Linked DNA regions of Anolis sagrei. The protein of the gene in region 1 interacts with the protein of each later gene in a pairwise test. Links are inferred from orthologs where the notes say so. Each region holds a gene or a part of one and is shown in the gene's direction. Other genes may lie near its edges.

Evidence for each region.
Region 2: the proteins of SIPA1L2 (region 1) and AP3M1 interact in binary tests that used the Homo sapiens proteins (3 or more experiments, as listed by UniProt). The two-hybrid records come from large-scale screens. The link is inferred for Anolis sagrei from reciprocal best matches to the Homo sapiens genes SIPA1L2 and AP3M1.

The regions. Positions count from the first base shown.
Region 1 is NC_090021.1:60,219,629-60,231,853, forward strand, and holds the start of SIPA1L2 (signal-induced proliferation-associated 1-like protein 2), read left to right. Parts: upstream 1-7,267; 5' UTR 7,268-7,643; intron 7,644-7,666; exon of another isoform or gene 7,667-7,792; intron 7,793-12,225.
Region 2 is NC_090023.1:148,567,231-148,579,529, reverse strand, and holds the start of AP3M1 (AP-3 complex subunit mu-1), read left to right. Parts: upstream 1-6,162; 5' UTR 6,163-6,271; intron 6,272-12,299. UniProt on the Homo sapiens protein: Part of the AP-3 complex, an adaptor-related complex which is not clathrin-associated. The complex is associated with the Golgi region as well as more peripheral structures.

The DNA.
Region 1 (12,225 bases):
ACCTATTGGTCAGCTTCCTCCAGGCACAAAGCAGGACCCAGAGAATGCCTCTCAGAATCTCTTGGTTCTTCAGTGGAATTCTTTTGTCAGTTTCCAAGTAAAAGTTGATCACAGATTCATGCTGGAAAACCAAATAGAAAAAAACCCTCTAAGTGTGGATTGTCGATGTTGCAATCCCAGGTGACAGCAGAATTGACAAGAAGCAACTAGAAAAACTTACATGACATGAGGATTTTAAGATAGAACTGTAACGACTCTGGCACAAGCCAATAAAAGTGGTCCTAGTTGTGATCAGAACACTGGGTGCAAGTGCTTAAAGATATTGGCCTGCACTTAAAAACAATCGGCACTGACAAAAATACCATCTGTCAGTTGCAAAAGGCCACCTTACTCGGATCTGCACATATTATTCGCTGATACATCACACAGTCCTAGACACTTGGGAAGTGTCCAACGTGTGATCCAGTACAAAAGCCAGCATTGTGATCTTGTTTGTTGTATACTAATCTTGCTATGTATCAAATGATGATGTATTGTAGAAGGCTTTCTTGGCTGGAATAACCAGATTGCTCTTAGGTTTTTGGATTGTATGGCCAATTTTCCAGGAGTATTCTTTCCTAGGAGTGTATACTATTGGAACATGGCTGAAAAGGTAAAGATTTCTCCTGACACTAAGTGTAGTCATGTCTGACTCTGGGGGTTGGTGATCATCTTCATTTCCATGCCAAAGAGCCGGCGTTGTCCGTAAACACCTCCAAGGTCATGTGGCCAGCATGTCTGCATGGAACACAATTACCTTTCCGCCAAGGCAGTACTTATTGATCTACTCACATTTGCATGCTTTCGAACTGTTAGGTTGGCAGAAGCTGTGCCTAACAAAGGAAGCTCACCTCACTTCCTAAATTCGAACCACCAACCTTTTGGTCAGCAAGTTCAGCAGCTTAGCAGTTTAACCCGCTGTGACACCACAGGGTCCTTTTGGAGCATGGCCCATACAGCAACCCTATAATAATAACAACAATAATAACAACAATAATATTTACTTCTTATCTGCTTCTCCTCACTGGTCGAGGTGGGGCACAACATACTAAATAACATGTCATCATAAAACCATTCAGTAAAATACATACGTTAATACATATTAAAATATACAGAACAAAGATGAAAATACATTAGAGAAAAGACGTGACTTTAAAATTCATAGTTAAAAACTGACCGAGCAGGGCTGTTGGAAGGGATACGTATAGGTCTTCAGTTGTCTGAAAATCATGGGTGAATCTGCACTGTATAAGTCAGGGGGCAAAAGTATGATAGCTGGGGCCCTATGCTGGTTGCCCCGGCTCTTCCACTGTTAGAAAGCGGGCAGAGGAAAGCAGAAGAAGGGGGGAACTGGGGATCCGATTCCTGACTCCCTGTTCGCACTAGGGCCTTGTAAAAACCTTCCCTGGCCGCCACCACACTTTCTGCCCTTCGAAGAAAGCAGCCCCAGCAGCTGGGAGCAGTCCAAGCAGACTTCCCTTCATTGATTCTGACGCACGTTGCACTACTAGCATAGGGTTCGTAGGGTCCCAGCTATCATACTTTTGCCAGTCAGGGACCTGTTGACAGCCCCTGAGACTCTTGGGAGGCCGGACTATAGTTTGAAAAAAAATGCATTAATTCCTGTGGACAATCTATAGTACACACACACACACACAGAAAGTATAATACAATATTTAAAATGCAGAACAATCAACACAAGCTTACCAGTATTTTAGTGGGAAGTATGTGACTGTTTTTGGCTGATACTCAAGTTAATTAGGATTGTTGTTGTGTGCCTTCAAGTCGTTTCAGGCTTAAGGCAACCTTAAGTCCAAAGTTTAGGGTGGGACCAGATAAACGACTTTGGAGGGACTTCGTTTGAGGAACCCTGGTGTAAGTGATGCACTTTGACTCCACTTTAACCGCCAGTGGTGCAATGGGTTATAAATCCTTGTGCAGGCAGGACTGCTGACTGAAAGGTCGGCGGTTCTAATCTGGGGAGCAGGGTGAGCTCCTGCCTGTCAGCTCCAGCTTCCCGTGCGGGGACATGAGAGAAGCCACCCACAGGATGGTAAAACATTCGGGCGTCCCCAGGCCATCCTTGCAGATTGGCCATCCTTGCAGATGGCCAATTTTCTCACACCAGAAGCTATTTGTGGTTTCTCAAGTCACTCCTGACACACACAAAAAAACCCCCAAAACCCACCATGGCTCAATGCGATGGAAGTATGGGAGTTACAGTCCTATTTGGCAGGAGGGCTAAGGACCCAAAACTTCCATGATTGCAGAGCACTGAGCCGTGGCATTTAAAGTGACAGCAGGATGCCCTCCTCTTCTGTAGAGTTTAGGTAGGAAAGCAGGCCGGTTTCCTGACATCTGTTGCTGTTTTCCTTCATAAACCGTGCGACTCTTACTCATTAGATGTCCAATCGTGTCTTCCCTGAAAGAGGAAAAGAAGGAAGGTCAGCTGAGGCTCCAGGGCAGTGTTTAAATAAGGCTAAACATTTGACTTGGCCTGAGTTTTAATGGGAAATGGCTGTGGCCCACTAAAGGTTGTGCCTAATAAAACTGGACATGGAAATGAGCCCGAGCGCAGCGGGGAGCCCCGCCTTCACATTGGTGTGAACCGCAGCGGAGAGTTCCGCAGTTCCTGGATCAAGCTTTTGGGACCAGCAGATGAAATGTGCCCCAGCAGCCAGCTCAAAGCCAGGAATGCTTGCAGCTTCACTTTGCTTTCCCTTACCCTTTACTTTGTATCATTTCCCTAATAAAAGTACTTGAAACTTGCAACTTTTCATCTCTCCGCTTGATACTTTTGTATCCTTTCTGACTCAAACCATAACAGCACTAAAATAAACCCTTTTCCAGGCTCCGGAGAGCCGTGAGCATGCGGGAGGCGCTTCCGGGTGCCCCCCAGACCCCGGATCTGCGTTCGCCTGGACCGCGGATACGGAAACCGCCATTTCAGACCCCCTTATCCACGAAAACACATAAACTGGCGGATCGCCGCCGTTCCAATTTTATATTTTTCTACAATTAATTTTAAGACTAACCGCTGTCTCCCTTTTCTCGTTTTGGGCCCCTTCACCCGGGAAAAAAATTAGTTTTGTTTTAAGTATTTTATCTTGCAGAGAAACAGCTGATTGTCAAACTAGCCAGGCTCTTCGCTTCTCCTCGGCAGCATTCGCTCCCGCTCGGATCCAGCAGCCAGGGACCCACTGCGGCCACCCGTAGGAGTCCCGGGAAGGTGGCCAGGCATGGGTCCCGGCCTCTGATCAGGGAAATGTAGTTTCCCAAAGGACATTGCCCCATCAATCGCAACCCGGAAACCCTCCTTGGACTCTCTTATTTGCCCTCTCCTATTGACTTTCTGCTCCACCTCCCGGACTGTTTTCTGCCACATTTTTTGGGGCACAAACCTTCAGATCAGGCTTGCCCCGATTCGCAAGTAGCCTCCGTTTCCGTGTGCCTTCACCAGGAGACCATGAACTTCTTTCAATAATGAAATGACTGAATATTTTTATTAATAAACTTTCACTGGGGATGGGATTGCCTCATGAAATGTGAAAATATATGAAATGTATGTAATGAAATATTATAAGAAATGTACTCTGGTTCCCCTCCCCGCTTCTCCTCTTTGACCCTTGCCCCAAAAGGAATGTGACCTAAGGATTACTGTGACAGGGAGGAAATCCTTTGTCCTCCCGAAACGGTTCATATTTACATTTGCATGGGCCGTGTGGTTGATCCCTTCTCAAACTAACTTTCAGAGCAGACAGTAAGGGAGGGAAGGGTCAACCGAAACTTAGGAAGAAAAGACTGATTGAATCATTTTTAGGTATTTGTTGATTCCCCTTTTTACGAGGCTCTGAGGTCCAAATACCATCAAAAGCCCCTTTTTCACACTTCCTCCCAAATCCAATCATAGACCAGGAAACTCATTGTTCCCCTATCTGTCACCCCGCCGGTGAGGACAAAGCCCCACATTTCAGCTGGCGGATGCCCCCTGGGCTCATCATTTCCTCTGAACTGTCAAGCTTCGTCCCGCCTCCTGGCTGCCGATTGGACCATCTTCGGAGGCGCTAGGAAGGCGCTGATTGGCCCCCTAGAGGCAGCGGAGCTCGCTGATTGGACAGGAGGCGGGACGCGCAGCCAAGCCTCCTCCCAGCTGTTCCGTGGCCAGCCAATCAGGGCGAAGCCGGCCGGCAGAGGGCGGGTGGGATTTTTGAAAATGTTTCCTTTGTCTGTACGCTATAAAAATGCCTGGAAATTCTGTAAAACCATGCTTGTATGTGAATCATCACTACAATTGCATCCTTTTCAGCTGAATCGCAAAATAAACGCTTCGGTCGCTGAACTTCTTCCGCCTCCGGTGAGATTAATTTTTAATATTTTTTGCTCTTTGGATTGGCTTTCGCTGGCTGCTCACCGAGGTTTGAGGACCCCTTTTGCGGTCTTCTGGGATCTCTCCCGCTGGGAGACCCTCCAAAAGAGCTCAACATCAGAAAGAAAGAGCAGGGGTGGAAAACTTGGGCCCTGCAGGTGTTTTGGACAGCAACTCCCACCATTCCTCACTGAGGAAGCGGCTGAGGGGGAAAAGAAGGGGCCTGAGGCTGTGAGGAATGGTGGGAGTTGCAATCCAAAACACCCACAGAGCCCAAGCTTGGCCAGGCCTGCAAGTCTACACTGTAGACTTAATGCAGTTTGAATACCACTTGAACTTCTGTGTGCCCAGGGGGGAGTCTCTCATTTGGTATCAGCCATTGGTTGAGGCACACAGAAGACTGGGCGACTTGGAAGGCGCTGAACAGACTGTGCTCTGGCACCGCGAGATGCAGAGCCAACCTTCAGAAATGGGGCTACAAAGTGGAATCCACAACATACGAGTGTGGAGAAGAGCAAACCACAGACCACCTACTGCAATGCAACCTAAGCCCTGCCACATGCACAATGGAGGACCTCCTTGCAGCAACACCAGAGGCACTCCAAGTGGCCAGCTACTGGTCAAAGGACATTTAATCAACTACCAAGCTTGCAAATTTTGTATTTTGTCTGTTTTGTTCTGTTAGAATTGTAATACAATTGACTGGTTACCCTGACACGACAAATAAATACCACTTGAACTGCAATGGCTTAAGCGGCTGAGGGGGAAAAGGAAGGGACCTGAGGCTGTGAGGAATGGTGGGAGTTGCAGTTCAAAACACCTGCAGGGCCCAAGTTTGCCCAGGCCTGCGAGTCTACACTGTAGACTTAATGCAGTTTGAATACCACTTGAACTGCAATGGCTTAAGCGGCTGAGGGGGAAAGGAAGGGGCCTGAGGCTGTGAGGAATGGTGGGAGTTGCAGTCCAAAACACCTGCAAGGCCCAAGTTTGCCGAGACCTGCGAATTAATGCAGTTTGGACACCACTTGAACTGTAATGGCTTAAGCAGCTGAGTGGGAAATGAAAAGGGCCCGAGGCTGTTAGGAATGGTTGGAGTTGAAGTCCAAAACACCTGGAGGCAGGCCCGTAGCGAGGGGGGGGGGGTTAGGGGTTCAACCCCCCCCCCCCGAAATGTTTCAGATTTTTTTTTCAAAACCTGGTTTACTCATGAATTTTAACTGGTTAACCAAATCCCCATGCTAAGTCTATGAGATGCAAAAAATCAAGAGTCCCTCCAGAACTGCAAGCACTATCTCAAGCAAATATTAGCAATTTATTCACACTGTCATTACTTGCAGCAATAGCTGATGTAGTTGTTCTAGTACAGCTGTACCAGGAGCTCCAACTTTATTTGCTTTGTATTAAATGTTTGCTTGCAGTCCTAGGTTTCAGGGACTCTGCAGATAGGTGGCTTCTTTGGTTGCAGTCATAGGGCAAGTCACCTGTCCATCATTGTTAAGTTTTGGTCCCGCCCCTTGCTCAGGGCAATTGGGAAGGGAAGGGAGCCATTTTTAGTTAGTCTCAGCAAGGTAAGCTTATGTATAGGATGTGTGCAAGCTTCCCCTGTACAAAAGCTTTAACCCTTAAGACCTTCCGGGGGAGAAAGGTTTTAAGAGTCTCCAAAGAATTTCCAGGAAAACAGCCCTAAAGACCAAAGAACTCCAGCTGGAGAACATCTACTGCCTTGCTGGTAGGTCCACTCGGCATTCGAGATGCAGTTCGACCCTGTAGCGGAGTCCACATCAGTAAGGGTTAGATTACAGTCAGCCTGGGAGAAGTTAAAACGGGGATTTTCCTTTAAAGAAGAAGTTATTGAAAACAGTTGCCTGTCCTTCATGGGCAAGATTAGGAATTCACCAGTTGCCTAAAAGCTTGGAATCATTTGCTTAACTTTACTGAAGACAAGAGAAGTTTCTGTTTGATTGTTCTTTAATAAAAGACTTTGTTGTACTTCTCAAGCCATCTAAAGACGGTTTGTGGTGGAAACCTCTGAGAACTTCTCTTTAGGCCTCCTGGCTTCCCGCTGGGCAAAGATTGCACATCCTGTTCTAAAGACAATTATTTACAGGCCCAGCACAGGACAGAACAATAGTGAAGCAACCAAGTTTGGGGGAGGGGGGATGTTGAATGCTCTCATTAAGGAGGCCAGACTTGGTGGAGGTGGTTGACAAGGACGGAGCTGCAGGCTATTGAAGGCTGCTCTGCCCCCTGCTGTGCTCTTTGCTACAGCGTGAGCTAGGAGGCAGGTTTCAACCCCCCCCCTTGCGAAATTTTCAACCTCCCCCCCCCCCCGAAAATTTAAACCCCTCCCGAAATTTTTTTCTGGCTACGGCCCTGCCTGGAGGGCCCAAGTTTGTCCATGCCTGTGAGTCTACACTGCAGACTTAACGCAGTTTGGACACCACTTGAAGTGCCATGGCTCCATGCAATGGAATCATGGGATTATGAAGTTCTTTGGCAGAGAAAGCTAAAGGACCTTGCAAAACTATAACTCCCATGACGTCACAGTTTTAAAAGTTGTGTCGGAGTGTATTAATTCATTCTGCAGCGTAGATGCACCTTACTGCAAAACAAGAGGCAAGGAAGGAGAGAATGAAAAAAAAAAAAGAAGCAGCAGCGCTCTTCGGACTCTAAAAGGCAAAGGAGACAAACAATTGGAAGAAGGAGGGGGAAAAAGGGGGGGCGAAAGGGGAAGGGCAGGGGGCGGGGCGTTCTGCCATGATGGGGAGGAGGGGGCGTGCCTTCCCGAACAGCACAGCCCAATAAGCGTGCTAGGGTTGGTCACAGAGTGAGGAAGGCAGCCAATGGGAGGCGAAGGGGCGTGGCTGAGTGGGTGCGGGTGCCTTGTGCTGGAGCTAAGCTCATCTTTCGGGCTCCCATCCTCCTCCTCTCCCTTCCTTTTTTTTCCTATCCGGCAAAACTGAGCCTGCAGCTCTCCGTCCTCGCGCTGGCGAAAGAAGCGGCCGTTGAAGGGGAGGCAAGCGGGCGCGAGGGGGAAGGAGCGGCGCGCGCCGAGGAAGGAGCCGCTCGCGCCCCCTCCCCTCCGCGTCACTTCAACAGACCCTCCGTCCTCTCTTGGCGAGCGCGAGGCAGTCAGTCCAGTCAGTCAGTCAGTCGCTCAGCGAGAGAGTTGACTTTATTTTTCCCCTCTCTGGCGAACGCGGGACTCTTCGGCTGAGGGAGGAAAGGAAAGAAGAAGGTGAGGGGTTTGTTCTCCGCCTGGGAATATAGGGAAGTCAAGCGCGGTGCGAGAAGGACTACCTGGGGGCCTCCCTCGGCCCGGCCTCCGTCCCACCACCGGCACCTCTCTCTCGGGGACCTTTCCCCCCTCAGACCGTCGTTTTGTGGGTGAGAGAGAGAACTGGCTGGGATGCTTCAGGCTTGGGCTCTTGTCGCCTTGTGTATGTTTGCGTGTTGTGAGCTCTGTTATGATTTCAGGGGCATTTCTAGTCTAGGCTTTCACCCCCCTCTCTTTTCTCTTTCTCTGGAATGCCCGAGACTTGTAGGGGCCTTGATACTGCAGGAATGCACTGTGTATGTATGACTATATGGACTAGGTGGGGGTGTTTAACACTTGTGGGTCTTTTATAGTGTATATTTTAAGTCTGTGTGTGTGGGTAAAGCTATTAACAACACTATTTATAACAACACTTTATTTGTATTGTCGAAGTTGTTCATGGACGGAATCATTAAGTTGTTGTGAGTTTTCCGAGCTGTATGGCCATGTTCCCGAAGCATTCTTACCCTGGACCTTCCACAGATATAGAAACCCAATTTCCCAGTTTCCAACAAACCTCACAACCTTGCCACAGATGCAGGCAAAACGTCAGGAGGGAATGCTTCTAGAACATGGCCGTACAACCTGAAAAACCTACAACAACCCATTCTCTTCTGACGTTTCGCCTGCATCTGTGGCAGACAACCTCAAAGATCGTGAGGTCTGAATGCTTCTGGAACATGGCCATACAGCCCGGAAAACTCACAACAACCCAACACTTTATTTATAACCCGCCTTCTCTCCCCCCCTTTATAGTTCAGGCAAGGAGTGTACTGACAATGGACAGGCTTTGGACACTGAATTAGACTTAGATATGGCTATATGGTTGATAATAATGTTTTAAATTGATTATTAACCTAATGTTTTTATCTAAAACGTAATGTCATGGTATAGTGTGTTTTTGTATGTGTTGGCATCGAATTGTTGCTGGTGTAAGCCGCCCTGAGTGCCCCCCCCCCCTTGTGGTTGAGAAGTACAGGGCACAAATAATACATGTGTGCAAAAGATTTGTGGGTATACCAGGCATGGGCAAACTTATTGTGTATACCATTTATACCAGGCATGGCGTACTTTGGCCCTCCAGGTGTTTTGGACTTCAACTCCCACAATTCCTAACAGCCACTTCCTAATTCAATCCATGTTCCCCACCCTTGTGATGGTAGAATGTGGACTTCATTACCACTGAGCCTAATTGGAGCCAAACATACCCAAAGATGTATTGTCAAAGGCATTCATGGCCCAAATCACTGTCCCAGAAGCATTATCTCTTGACATTTTTCTTGCATCTATGGCCGGAATCCTCATACCCAAAGATGGTGAACCAGATTTGCTCTCCCAGATTTTGGCCTTGAGGTGGGATGCAAAACTCCTCCTCTTGATTTTCCTTTCCTTGACAAAATAACCATGTAGGTTGGGTCCAGGCAATCTGCCTCTCCATATCATAGAAACACAGAGTTGGAAGAGTCCACAAGGGCCGTCCAGCCCCATATGAATCTTGGGTTCATGGCATGACTTCTCTAACAACATTTAGTAGCATATGTAGGAATAAATTGAAAAGAATAGGGATAGGTTCCTACACAAAAAGGGAGTTAAAATAACTAATACGCACATTTGAAATAGACATATGCTCAAATCCTCTGTGTGAGAGAGAACCGGTTGAGGTGCTTTGGATTTGTGGGGATTTTATATAGTGTAGGCATAAATTAGGTGTGTACATTCATGTGGGTAAGTCTGCTGGGGTGCTTAAGACTACGGAGCATTTATATAGCCCTGGCACGGGCAAACTTAGTCCCTCCAGGTGTTTTGAATTTCAGCTCCCCCAATTCCTTACAGCCATAGTTACACAGTATATGTATGCGAACTGGCAGGGTGTATGTGCATAAGACTCGCGGGGCTTTTGTAGTGTAGTGTAGTGTGTTTGTGTATGAGCTAGCTGGAGCACTTAAGTCTTGTGAGGTTTTATAGGATAGGAATACACTATGTGAACTGCTGAGGGTGCTTAAGATTTATGAGGATTTTATAAGAGTAGGCACACTGTGTGTGAGCTGCTGGGGTGCTTAAGATTTTTGGAATATTTATGCTGTAGGCATGCAGTATATGTACATGGGAGCTGCGTGTCAGGTGCTTTTATAATGTGGACATCTTTCATAATATGGGCACACTGTGAGAGAAAGATTGAGAGAGAGCAAGCAGGAGTGCATCAGCTTTCCGGGGCATTCATAGTCCAAATGCATAGTGTGAGTGTGTAGGGGAGTTGATTGGCAACAAAAACCTTGCTTTGTTTGTGTAAAAGAAGGAGGGAATGGGGAAGGGTGAGTTCTGTCGGCTGATGGAAAAAAAGGGTCGCTTCTAATCCCTTCTTAACATGGATGAATTTTTGTTCGGGGGAAATGGAGAGAAAATTCAACTTGCCTCTGCCCTCCTTCCCACCCCCAGCCTGCACTCCCTTGCCACTTGATGGATAGAAGGCGCTTCCTAGCATTCATTTGGCGTCAAGATGGGAGGGGAGTAAATTTAGTGGGAGAAGCGATGTTTTGTTGCTGGGAAGGAAGGGGGGCAGGGAAGTTGTGCTTGCTGCCTGCAGGTGTCCTATGGGCCTCCTTGGTGTATGGAGAAACATGGGGGAAATGAGGGGGAGGGGTTCAATGGGTAGGAATGACTCTCCCCCACCCCAGACCTCCTCTTGTGTGATTTCTGTACTGTTACTATGCATCATTTTAAAAATAAAATCTACAAAACAAATATCCTTGGTCAGCTTTTACTTGCGCTGGAGAAATTGCATATGGAGGTGTTCTCAGTTTTGGCTGCTTTGTGTGTAAGTTTTAAATGAATGCTATGTTCATTTCTGTTTTTGAAAGAGGTTGTATCTCCTTTCTCCTGAATGTATATCAGTTGCAAGTTCAAGAGTGGCTTTATTGTTCAGCTCAAATGAAATGATTTTTGAACAGTATATTTTGAGGTACGATATTGTAACCAAATAATATTCAGTGAGTTTTTGTTATTTCTCTCTCTATTCTATCTGTCATCACCACTTTTTTCTTTGACAGTTTGAACAACAAATACCAGCTTTTTTATTTCAACTTTTTCTTTGTTAATGTCTTGGCATACATTGGGTTAGCATATATTTAGATGAAACATAGAGGATGGAATTGAACCTTCATTGAAGAATTTTGTTGTTTCATTATGAGTTTTGGGGTCAGCTTGAATTTGAAGTATTTTCTTCAGACATTGCCACAATAACAAATAAATATTTTCAAGCAAATACTCTTGTTAGGAAGAATGATCTTATAAATTACTTTACTCGAGTTTTAAAATGCAATTTCATTTCTAAATGTTAACACTAGGTGGCTTTCTTGTATCATTCAGAAAACACTACACCCATAACTGTCTCTACTGACTACACCATTTTTGTTCCTGCAGTCAACTGCTATGAAATGTTACTGTCTTGTTCCGTTTAATAATAAATGATATTAAATCAAATGTATACTTTTCCCCTTTGGTAATTTTATTTTGCCATCCTGATTCCAGAGATACTACATTTGTTTCACTGTTTCAAATTCTTCATTGATAAACAAATTTCAGATTTTTAAAATTAAAAGGTCTTTAATTGGATGCATATATTAAGAAATTAATATTTGCAATGAGGGATTCACATATTGTTCCAGCTAATGTAATAGCTTTATTGTAAACAATCAGTAATTTTTTGTTGTAAGTTGTTTGTATTATCTCTTATACTGTGAGAACTTATTTTCGAGGATACTAATAGTGAGCAGCCCTTTAGGCAGTCTTTGGAATGGAGAGAGCTGGTTTTGAAAAGGGCTAGAGCAGGCATGGGCAAACTTTTTTTGCCTTGGGGCTGCATTGTGGGCTGGACCATGAGAGAGAAGGGCTGGACACATACTGGGCAGGGAGGGGCCGGGAGAGGGAGAGGTCAGGAGGGACAGGGCAAGGCCCAGGTCATCGTCAGGTTGTCCTCCCAGCAAAAGGATGGGGCTACTCACCATATTCTTATGCTGGGAGAAAGGTGGGACACATGACTATTGCCCCCTTCATGATTCTCCTCCCCATCCTCCTTCCCCGATCCTCTTGGCATTATGCTGAGAGGAGGGCAAGACAGGCAGTGGCTGAGAGTGATCCAAGGGGCTCTCAGCTGCTGTGTGCCTTCCTTGAGCTGTCCTCCCGGCATATGAATGGGGCCAATTGCACCATCCTTATGGCGGGAGGAAGAGGGTCTGAAGTCAGGGAAAATGATGAGGGTCTGAGGTAAGCACCCAGGGGGCTGCATTTGGCCCCCAGGCCTTAGTTCGCCCATACCTAGGCTAGAGGTAGTACTGTGGCAAAGAGAGTAGATAGAATCTGTTCTTTTTTATTCGTCCAGGATGGACTAATCTCATGCCTTTTGTTACTCTGAGATGCTATCTTTTTATTAAAGTTTGGATACATTACTTATATTGATCAGTGGATAAGTTGATCCAAGTGTTTTAGGGTCATCCTGTTGACTACA
Region 2 (12,299 bases), on another chromosome or scaffold:
GTATTTTGAAGCGTGTTGTATGGAATGGATCAAAGAATGGATATTACTGAGAAATAAAAAACTGCTAATTCTAGAAGGCCACGATCTAAGAACTGGGTGGCATGCCTATTTATGGCATAATAAGGCAAAAGTAGAAAAAAAAATTAGAAACCATTTCATACGGGCCGCCCTTTTAAAAGTATGGGACATGTATAAGGATAGGATGTACCCCAAAACACCACTATGGGTCTCCCCCCTTGAAGCCCACCAAAGGAAAGAGCTGGGCTGGAATTTATGGCCAACGTATAAGGAACTATTGCTAAAGGAAAGAAAGGAATTCAGTATAAAAACACAGGACGTATTAAAACAACAATACAATAATATCACTTGGCTCCAGCACTGGCAGCTAAATGAATACTTTAAAGAAGACAACAAAAAAGGCTTTATGGAATTCCCTTCTGTATGGGACAGACTCCTAGATATCACCAAAAAATACATAACAAGAGCATATAAGCTCTTACTTGAATGGGCTACAGAGGAAGAAAGGATAAAAGAATACATGGTCAAATGGGCTAGGCTAATAGGAAGATCTATATCTTTAGAGGAGTGGAACAAGATCTGGAACATAAAAACAAACTACTCGTATTCCTACTATTTTAAAGAACACTGGGTGAAAATGGTACACCAATGGTATCTTACACCGACTAGGATAGCCAAATTTACCAAACATACATGTAGCAAATGTTGGAAGTGCGGGAAGGAGGAAGGGACGTACAAACATATGTGGTGGTCCTGCAAGAGGGTACGAAAGTTCTGGAAAGTAATCCAAGAGAGCTGTCAAAAAATACTAAAAAAAAGTATCCCCTTAAAACCAGAATGGTTTCTGTTAGGATTAACAGAAGGGCAATGGGATAAAGAGACGGATAAACTATTCACATATCTGATTACGGCAGCACGCTTAGTGCTAGCCAAGGTTTGGAAACAAAGAACCTTACCAACGGAAGAAGAGTGGACAGAGAAAATAATTGAGCTAATGAATGCGGACCACCTAACGTTCATTCTGTCAGCCTCAAGAAACATGCCGGTACTACCAACAAATTGGGCACCTGTAAAAGTATGGCTTAGAGAAAACAAGATAAAATGGATAATAACCTAAGTCCCAAGTAAGACCAGGGGAGAGCACACCACCTGAGAGAAAGACCTAGTAACGCAGAGTAGTCTAAAATTCTCGTCAGGAGGGTCGAAAGAAAGTAGAAGAGAAGTAGGTAATGCTAGACGAAAAGGGCCCACAAAAAAAAACAAAAACAAAAACAAAAAAAAAACCTGGAAACAGGGAAAGTTACTGCTTAGACTGTTAAGAACCCAAGGATTTTTCCTTGTAAAGAATTATAGGTTCAAATGTTATAGGAAAGAAACAGTGGATGTTAGGATAGGACATGCTAGGAAATAAGAATCAGTTTTAAAAATTAAAGAAAAATAAAAGTAAGATACCAGATAAAGAGATACCGTAGACAAAAGAGTAGGAGGTCCACTGCCGTCATGGGCAGTTGCTTTTAAATGTATTTGTAGTGAGTGTGTTAGGTAAGTTAGGTGATTGTCAAGTTGTAAAATTGTGTATTATTATGTATGACACGTATGATTGTGATTATGTCATTGTCATTGGCATAAATGGAAATTGAAAGACAAACTTAATTGAAGTTAAGAAAGTGCTATCAAATACACTTTCCATGCTTTTAGGTGGAGCTCAACATGAACAGGCTCTCTTATGCATGTTTTTCCTTCTTTCAATGAAATGCATGGAGTTTGCTTAAAAATCAGTACTGTCAGCTGCCTATACACACACACACACACTTTCATTTTATTTTGGGAGTGCATTAATGCAGCACTTAGTACAAAAAGAGGAATTGGATTATACCTCATCCTGCACTAAATCTCATCTGAACAAACCTCTGATGCTGTCCATTTGGATTCCTCTAATTGCAAAATCTTCTGAATTAATAATCTATTAATAATCTATGCACAAAGTTCACCGTTCTGCCAGGCGTTCATTCTTTCATCTCTCTAACAAAAGACACAAAGTGCCTCACCACACTACAGCATGGATCCGGTTTCTGCCTCCTGCAGAATTCTGGGGTTTGTAGTTTAGTGAAGCCCAGGACCTGTCTGGCTGAGCATTTCAAAAGCCCTTCCCCTAAACCACAAGCCCCAGAATTCTGTAGGAGGCAACAACTAGATTTAAAGTGGATCCATGCTCCATGATGAGATCCTTTGAGGATAGCTAATATGATCTGCTCTTCACAAGCTTTTCATTTCCTAGTCTCATTCTATATCTTCATTATTTTTAAATAGGCTTTTTGGTGTCAATAAAGAAGATTTTAAAGTCGCCTTCGGGCTGAGAGTGGCGGTTAACAAATGCAAATAATAAATAAATAAATAAATAAATAAATTTAAAGATTTGTTTTGATTTTTTTTTAAAAATGCCTTTTTACAAACTTTTTTGCATACAAGTATTTATTTATTTATTTATTTACTTTGCTTATATACCGCAATTCTCAGCCCATGGGCTGAGCAACCATGGGCTGTATCACATAATGACCAGACAGACTACTGCAGCCTTCCAGATGCTATTGGACCAGTTTCTATCAGTTTCTCTCAGCAATACCCCGCACTGACACTGCATGTCATACCACAAGGGGGGGAACCACCGAGAAGGCCCTTTTCCTCGTCCCCACCAGACGTGTTTGAGAGGCTGATGCGACCGAGGGCAGGGCCTCCCCGGTGGATCTTAAACTACGAGGCGGAACGTTGAGGGAGATACGTTCGGACAAGTAAGCTGGGCTGGAGCCATATTATTAGTAGTAGTAATATTACATATAATATAAATATATCTATATATATATAAATGCTCTGTACGTAATGAGTACCTTAAAAACAAAACAAAAAACCTACTGGGCCAAATGACCCCAAATTTGGCAACAAAACTCCTCACAATCCAAGGAGTGACCATCACTGAAAAAAAAACCCACAAAAATACCTTTAAATTAAAAATATTACTATATTAAATAGACTCATAGAATAGAGTTAGAAGGGACTCTACCATAGGATTGCAGAAGAACAGACAGGAAGGAAGGAGAGAAGAAAGGAGGGAGGGGAAAAGGGAATGAATGAAGGAGGGAAAGGGGGAAGGAAGGAAAGAGAGAAGGAGGGAGGGAAAGAAGGAAGGAGAGAAGGGAAGAGGGGAGGAAGGGAAAAAAGAGGTACCGAAGGAAGGAACAATACAAAGTAGAAAGGAAAGAAAAAGGGGAGGAAAGGCAGGAAAGAGGTAAAGAAGGAAGGAGAAAAGGAAATAAAAAGTGAAAGAAGGAAGGAAACAGGGAAGAAAGGAGACAAAGGAAGAAGTAGAGAAAGGGGGAAGGAAGGAAGGAAAGAGAGAAGGAAGGATGAAACCAAAGTGGAAGAAGGAATGAAAAAAGAGGTAGAGGAGGAAGAAAGGAAAGGGGAAGAAAAAAGGGGGAAGGAATAGGTAGGTACCGCTCTTTCATAACAGTCCAGATATCTACCTCTACTTCGAAAATTCTTACTATAGGCCACAGCAATGCGTGGCAGGGCACACCTAGTATAATTATAATATTAGTAGTAGTAGTAGACGTAAATATATGTCCTAAACGGTTTGAGACCCGCCTACCTGCGTGACCGCATCTCCGTATATGAACCCACACGATCCCTCCGTTCATCTGGAGAGGCCCTGCTCATGATCCCACCTGCGTCACAAGTGCGTTTGGTGGGGACGAGGGACAGGGCCTTCTCTGTGGTAGCCCCCCGACTATTGAACTCTCTCCCCAAGGACATCAGACAAGCCCCAACGTTGGCAGTCTTTAGGAGGAGCTTGAAGACCTGGCTGTTCCAGTGTGCCTTTCCAGAATAGGAAACTCCCAGCATCATGTCCCAAACGCACTTTACCAGAAATTTAAGATTGCCTGCACATTGCACCTACCCTAAAATCCTTACATTTCACCAGTCATGTCCAGCACTTTTAATGTATTCATTACATTTGGCCCGGCCCTAGTTTTAAATGTGTCATGATGTATTGTTCTGATGTTTTACTGTTACTGCTTTAACGTTTATTGGTTTGCTTTACGAGTTTTATTGTTGTATTTGTGATGCTGTTGTTTTATTGAGGGCCTTGGCCTTTGTAAGCCGCACCGAGCCCTTTGGGAGATGTTAGTGGGGTACAAATAAAGATGATAATAATAATAATAATACCATAGTACAGGCAACAAGGTGGAACTGTCCTCTGCCCCCCTCAATGTGGACTCAGATAACCCAGTTCAAAGCAGATATTGTGGGATTTTCTGTGGTTATAGGACTGTGTGGAAGGGTCCTAAGTAATCAGTCCACACTGCTATATATTCCAGTTCAAAGCAGAAAATGTGGGATTGTATTATTTATTTATTTATTTATGGCATTTATATGCTGCCCTTCTCACCCCAAAGGGGACTCAGAGCGGCTTACAAGGTATTTTATTATTATTATTATTATTATTATTATTAATTAAACTTTATTTGTACCCCGCTAGCATCTCCCGAAGGACTCGATGCGGCTTACAAACGCCAAGGCCTCAACACAACAGCAGTAAACAACAACAATACAAAAGAAAGCAAATTAAAAAACATATGCAATAACAAAACATTACACTATTACACAATAAAAACCATGGCCGGGCCAATGATGGGTACAGGTTAAAAAGTGCTGGGTGTGACAGGAGGTGTATTGGAATTCTGGGCAAGTGCAATGTGCAGAGAGTCTTAAACTCTAGTAAAGTGCTTCTGGGACAAAGTGCTGGGTTATCCTATTCTGGAAAGGCACGTCGGAATAGCCAGGTCTGGAAGTTCTTCCTAAAGACTGCCAACGTGGGTGCTAGTCTAATGTCTTTGGGGAGGTCGTTCCAAAGTCGGGGGGCAAACACAGAAAAGGCCCTATCCCTCGTCCCCACCAAGCGCGCTTGCGACGCAGGTGGGATCGCAAGCAGGGCCTCTCCAGATGACCGAAGGGAGCGTGTGGGTACATAAGCGGAGATGCGGTCACGGAGGTAGGCAGGTCCCAAACCGTTTAGGGCTTTGTAGGTAAGCACCTGCACCTTGAATTGGGTTCGGTAGGTAAACGGCAGCCAATGGAGCTCCTTATACATACAATATATTATATTATTAGCATAGTACAATATCAGTTTTAAATATTGCTATATTGTACTATACCAATTAAGCTGTGTGGAAGGGGCCAAAGTGTCCTCAAACTGCACTCAAAGTATGGTTTAGATCTGTGGTTCCCAACTTTCGTCCTCCAGGCGTTTTGGATTTCAGTTCTCCTAATTCCAAACTCGCTGGGAGTTGAAGTCCAAACCAAAGGGAGGGCCAAAGGATAGGGACCACTGTTGTAGATGCCCCAATGGCGAAATGTCGGCCCCCCTGCTGAGAAAGGAAGAAAGGCATGCAGGCAGGCTCCCAGGCCGCAGGAACAATGCATCCCCGCCTTCCCAAGTGGTTACTGGGCAACCGGGCCCTTCACAATAGCGGCCGCTCCAACTCTGCAGGAGCGCGAGGCAGAACAGGTGGTATCCCGCAGCGCCGAGCTCCAGGCGTTCGGACTTCAATTCCCAGAAGCCTCCGCTGCTTGGGCCAATGGCCGGGGATTCTGGGAAACGGAGTCCAAAGCCCTGACAGACCAGAGTTTGGGGACCGTTACTGGAAGGGCTTCTCTTGGAGGTGCCAAACCTCCCACTGAACGGCGGAGGAAGGGGCCGGGGGCCGGGAGAAGCCTTCTCCCTCCCTTACCTCAGCCGGGCCGGCTCCAGCTTGGGCTTCTTGGCGCGGGGCTCCTCCGCTGCCATCTTCACGCCCGTCCTGCGCGAGACTGGTGCTTTGGCGGAGGGGAGGGGGGAAAGGAGGAGGAGGGCCGCCCCGTCCTGTCCCTTTCGGGGAAGCCGGCTGAGGGGAAGAGGGGCTGTGCAAGGAGAGTGCCTGCTCCGGAAAGGCCCCCCACGCAGGCCCTTCAAAGCGGGTTCGTGGAAGCCTGTGTTTCCTTTGCCACGCTGAGCAAATTATAAAGCATTCCTCTAATCAACCGAAAGAGGCGCCTCGGGGTCGTGAGGGCGGGCGCCTGACTTTCGGCGCAGGCAATTAGCGAGGACGCCCTGCTGGGGCGGGGCGGGGGCCTCGCAGCCATCTTTGGCCAGCGCCACTGCTCTTGCTGCTCTCGCTGCTGTGCTGGCACCGACGCCGCCTCCACCAGCCGAGGGGTGAGTCCTCCAGAGGGGCCGGGGAGGGCGGCCCGGGTAGAGAAGAGGCCCCGCTGCCTCTGGCCATGGCTTCGTGCCGCCCTCCAGGTCCAGGAAAGAAAGACACGCGTCTCTTTGCCAGCCTTCAAGGGGCCTGTGGGTGGGTTCAAGGCTGCCACACAGGGGTGGTGGAATAATACAGTTGGAAGGGACCCCAAGGGCCATCCAGTCCAACCCCCTGCCAGGCAGGGAAAGCACCATCAAAGCAACCCCGACAGGTGGCCAAAAAGAGTGCCACTTTCAGGGCATTCATAGAACCATAGAGTTGGAAGAGATCCCAGAGGCCATCCAGTCCAATCCCTTGCCAGGCAGGGAAAGCACCATCAAAGCAACCCCGACAGATGGCCAAAAAGAGTGCCACTTTCAGGGCATTCATAGAATCATATTGGAAGAGACCCCAAGGGCCATCCAGTCCAACCCCCTGCCAGGCAAGGAAAGCACCATCAAAGCACCCCTGACAGATGGCCAAAAAAAGTGCCACTTTCAGGGCATTCATAGAATCATAAAGTTAGAAGAGACCCCAAGGGCCATCCAGTCCAACAGCCTTTCAGGCAGGAAAAGCACCATCAAAGCAACCCCGACAGCTGGCCAGAAAAGTGCCACTTTCAGAGCATTCATAGAATCATAGAGTTGGAAGAGATCCTAAGAGCCATCCAGTCCAACCCCCTGCCAGGCAAGGAAAGCACCATCAAAGCACCCCTGACAGATGGCCAAAAGGAGTGCCACTGTCAGGGCATTCATAGAATCATAGAGTTGGAAGAGATCCCAAGGGCCATCCAGTCAAACCCCCTGCCTGGCAGGAAAAGCACCATAACAACAACAACAACAACAACTTTATTTATACCTCGCTCCATCTCCCCCATGGGGACTCGGTGTGGCTTACATGAGGCCACGCCCATCAGTACAGTACACACAATATAACACAAAAACATAACAAAACCAGAAAATAAAATACATAAAATGCAAAACCAATATAATAAGCGACACAACAATATAAAATGAAGCATTAAAAACAACATCAAAGCACCCCCGACAGATGGCCATCCTCTATTTAAAACCTTCAAGGAAGGAGCTTTCACCACACTTCGAGGTAGAGAGTTCCACTGTTGAACAAATCTTACAATCAGGAAGTTCTTCCTAACATTCAAGTGGTATCTCCTTTCATGATTTGGTTTGTTTTTTGGGTCAGGGTGACTTGAGAAATGGCAAGTTGCTTCTGGTGTGAGAGAACTGGCCATCTGCAAGGACGTTACCCAGAGGATGCCCAGATGTTTTACCATCATGTGAGAGGCTTCTCTCGTGTCGCCGCATGAGAAGCTGGAACCGATCGACGAGAGCTCACCCTGCTCCCCGGATTTGAACTGCCGACCTTTAGGCCAGCAGTCAGTTTGATTCCTCTTTGTCTGACCCCATCAGGCCCTGCTTTGCTCACAGAGGAGGGCTGGTGCCTTCTGGGTAATAAGACAGGTTTAGTGCTCATCAAGAAAAAGGAGGGGACACTGCTTGGGCAATGCAAGTCTCTTGGGAGCGAAGCAGGGCCTGATGGGGTCAGAGCAAGAGGAACGAAACCTCTAAAGCTTCTACAGGAGCCGATCACCTTGTAAAAGAGGTGGTTGACTTCTGGTCAGAAAAGAATTCATTGATAATTTTATTAAATTACAATTAGTTTGCATGTCATGATAAAAAAATAAGTATATTGCCTTGCCTTATGACTTACAAAGGAAACTATTTAATTTTGCCTTAGTAATGGAACAATAATACTAATGAACAATGCAAGGAAGGAAGAGGAAGGAAACGAGTTAGTGGCCATTTTGTACCTCAAAGAAGTTGGTTTGTCTGTGAAGAATCCATGTAGTTGAAACCTCAGAACCAAAATTTGCTTCCTTATGTGCTGGAAATCTTATTGTAAAACTATTAGAGTTGGACCAGTACTGATTTACCATTGAGTAGTTGATTCACTGGGCTTCATCATTAATAGGCTCTCGCTGTATCATTGTCTTCCAAGGGCAGAGTCTTTCAGTCCGCAAATTACTGTAGAGACCTATGTTGGGTCCACATGGTATTTCATAATAGGAACAAATGTCCAGATGGAAGGCAGTCCCAGCAAGAGTTTTATTGGCACACCTTCCTCTTGGCACATTTCTCCCTTTTGCCCCCACCCCCCATTCATTTTTCCACAAAATCCATAGCACTGTTGGTAACAGCTGACCTCCAGTTAGCATTTTGCTTGAAGACCAGGCTTCCCAGCTGTCGGTTTACTATTGAGCAGTTGATTCACTGGACTTAGACTGGTTGCATCTAGCAATTTGATTGAGACATGTATTTCTGTAATGTGTCATCTAGATCAGTAGATCTAGATGATCTACTGATCTTTGGCCTACAACTCCCAGAAATCCCAGCCAGTTTACTAGCTGTTAGGATTTCTGGGAGTTGAAGGCCAAAACATCTGGGGACCCACAGGCTGAGAACCATTAGTTTAGATAAATTAAACTGAAGGTTGTGTCTGTGTCAGTCTTGTGCCAGATTTAAAAGAGAAAAGGTGGTGTTCATGTGGCCTGCTGTTTTCTCTAAAGCTTTGTAGTCATGATCTTGCTTTAGTCTTGTATACTTTTTGGAAAATCTGTATTGTAATACTTAGAAACAACATATTTTGCTAGTTCTAGAAAACACTTCCTTAAACTATCTATACAGGTAGAAATGGTGATTGAAAGATTGCTATTCAATATTTTTATATAATTCTCTTTAAAAAGAAAAAAGAATCATTGGGAAACAAATGAAGCACATCAAAAGAATTCCTCTGGCATCTGTTTTGATTATTTACTTTTGGTTAAAAGCAGGTGTCAGTGAGACCTAGAAGGCAAGTCAGATCTCATCTGTAGATCAAGATCAGTATAAGTGATTGGACCTAGGAAACTACAGTGACTTTGCATAATGCCCTAAAGCTCTTTTTTTAATATACAAGCCAAACCCTAAAAATTTATGAAAAGCATGTTTATGCCAGATCTGTATTCTCAAGGAAGAAAATAGCCTTTTCCTGTGTTTTACTGTTTCAGGGCTGATTTTGTTTCTTTCCCAAGAAGCTTCTTTGGTTAAACATATTTTAGATGCAAAACTATAACCATGCATTCTTTTTGATGTTCTTGTCCAGTTTGATAGGGGACAGGGAAAAGGTTGTTTTGTATTCCGTGTCAGGGGCGACTTGAGAAACTTCAAGTCGCTTCTAGTGAAAAGGAAGCGCTTCTTAACTTACTGTAACTGTTGTGTGCCTTTGAGGCCTCTCTGACATATGGTGACCCTAAATTAATATAATTTGGCTGTTTGGTCAAGCATTTCAACATTTTTGTTAAAGTCAAGTGAAAAGCACTGTTAAATCACACCAGATTGCCTCTAGCTTCTTTTCTCCATAATATACAGAGGCATTGCAGGCCGTTTCAAAATTTAGACAAGAGAGTTTCCATATAATCACATTTGAAAGGTACAGATCAGGAAACTAGATTACAAACCAGAAGCATTAAATGAATTATCCTGGTATGTTTTAAGAGATATTCTATTGTGTGGAGCATCTGAAATGGATTTAAGTTAATTAGAAGGGTATGTTTAAGTGTGTGTTTCCCAGCACAGTAACAACTATTATTTCTTTGATATTACATGGCTCATTAAAAAGTATAATTTGGCAATTTAAGCAATAAAAGCAAAATATCCTGTGCAGATGTGATATTAGTATAAGTCTGTAGAGTTCTTTTTAGTTAACATCTCTGCCTGACTGTCAAAATCTACTGTATTCAGCTGAAGCCTTTGCCTTCAGGAGACTTCTTTGTACTACAGGATTGTAGCACTATGATTCCACTTCATTTGCCATGGAATCCCTGGGATTTGTAATTTAGAGAGAAGCTTTTAGACTTCTCAGGCAGAGAGCTCCTCTAGTGTCTCTGATCAAACTACAAATCCCACATTCCTTAGGATATAGCCACAGCAATTCAAGGGAAATTACAGTGTTATATGTTTACATCGTGAAAGAGTCCTGAGGTTAAGTTAATGGGATCTTATTTTGAGTATATGAAAGCCAAATTAGTTTGGGCATTGGGAATGTATCTTGATACGTCCAATTTCTTTTTGCCTTGTATTCTAATTATCATCTGAATCATGGTAATATAAGTAGCAGAGATGTATGAACTGGACATACTTTATTTACCTTCCCATACCCTAGAAGTAGAAGACCAGTGTGTTTTTGATGCAGACGCAAGTTATGTTTAACCATAATAATAGTTTTCCCAAAGCCTTTGAGAATATCTAGTCGCAATGGTCCGCAATTGATGGCACTGCACTGCACTTTTGTCCCATGCCCTAGTTCATTAGCTAAAATTTGCATTATCCTATTCCCTGCTCCTGTTTACAGTTGGCTATGTTTTACAACAGTTCTCATCATAAGTTATTAGGTGCTGTTCTGAGCTTAAACTTGCTTTTATATACTATTGGTTTTAACTTGTATTGTATTGTGTGTTTACATTTTGCCATATGTAAGCAGCCCCGAGTCCCTTCGGAGAGATAGAGGCAGTGTACAAAAATAATGGTAGCTGGTGGGTTCCTTGTCATGGGATCAGTGAATCTATCCAAAGTTCTAGTCTAAACATTATAATGGAGGTAATCAACATGTAGTATTATATCCCTGAAATAGTGTCAACACCTGAGAGTCCCTTTAAACTTTGGCCTAAAACCCAAAGAGGATTCAGTTGCTAACTGCTGTGGAGTTGACTTCAACCTGTGGCAGCCCCATGACATCCAACTCACCCTGTCATCAGCAGCTTGTGCAGTTCTTCCAGATTCAGGGCCGTCACTTCCTTGGTTGATTCTATTCACCAGGAATGTTGCCTTCTCAATTTTTTACTGCCTTCTACCTTACCAAAAGTCAAAAATACAAGAGTCTCAGGTGCTCACTTTTCCTCTGAATTTTAGGCTAGCTCTTGGCATCAGTTGCCATTTCCATGTGACACTTGTCAGCTGCTTGCAGTGAGAACCAGCCTTTTCAGAATTGTTTGCAAGTGATCCTTAGGCTTTGTAGCAGAGTCATCCTGCCTCAAAGCTCAGGTATAAGAAGCAAATGTGACTTAGCTTAGTGTTAAAACTGTTATTGCAAATACATCGGTTCCAGAGGGCATCAATATTGTGCCACAACCATTTGAAAACTGTATTCTGCTGGCCAGAATTTGAATGAATTTTGCAAGTATGCAGAAAGACAGAAAATAATATCAAACTAGAGACAATGAAATTAGAATTTTTGAGGGCTTTTAATCAAGAAAAATGATTTTCTATTGATATGTTATTTTGTTGCTATCATCGAGAACGGGAGGTAGGTTTGAAGTTTGTCATTATAAATATTAGCCCCAGCATGTTCTGTGTTTCAGTGTTTGAAAACCCTGAGGCATAATGGAATTTTGGAGAGAAATATAGAAATACTGTAGATTTCAGAACTTCGCAAATATTTTTGTCTGAACTAGCAGGTTATGCAGACTCTTGTCCTGTTAATGTTTTCCCAATCATTTTCCCTAAAGTAGAACACAGACAAAACGTCTTTTCATCGATAATAATTGGTTGTCTCTCTTCCGTTTTTCTCAAAATATGTTTATTGAATGTCTAGTTCCCAATGGCTTTCTGTGCCAATGTTGACCCCTTGAGCATTTTTCCCAATAAGATTCATGTGGTCTGCAGCTCATGCTTATAATTAGGACACTATAATCCCTACTTGTAGATCCAGTTTTAAGTGTTCTTTCAGATAGTCTTTTGCAGGAAAATAACAAACACTTGTACGATGTGGCAGTAATCTTGATGGTTACAGAAACTACTGTGTTCCAGTGCTCTGCCATTGTCCCGCTTTCAAACTGCATCATGTTTGTTATAGTTGTATGCAATATAGATCACTATAGGCTGGTTATTGTAATGCATATTATTTGTTTAAAATCTTGCATTCAAACACGAGTGGGGGAAGTGTAAC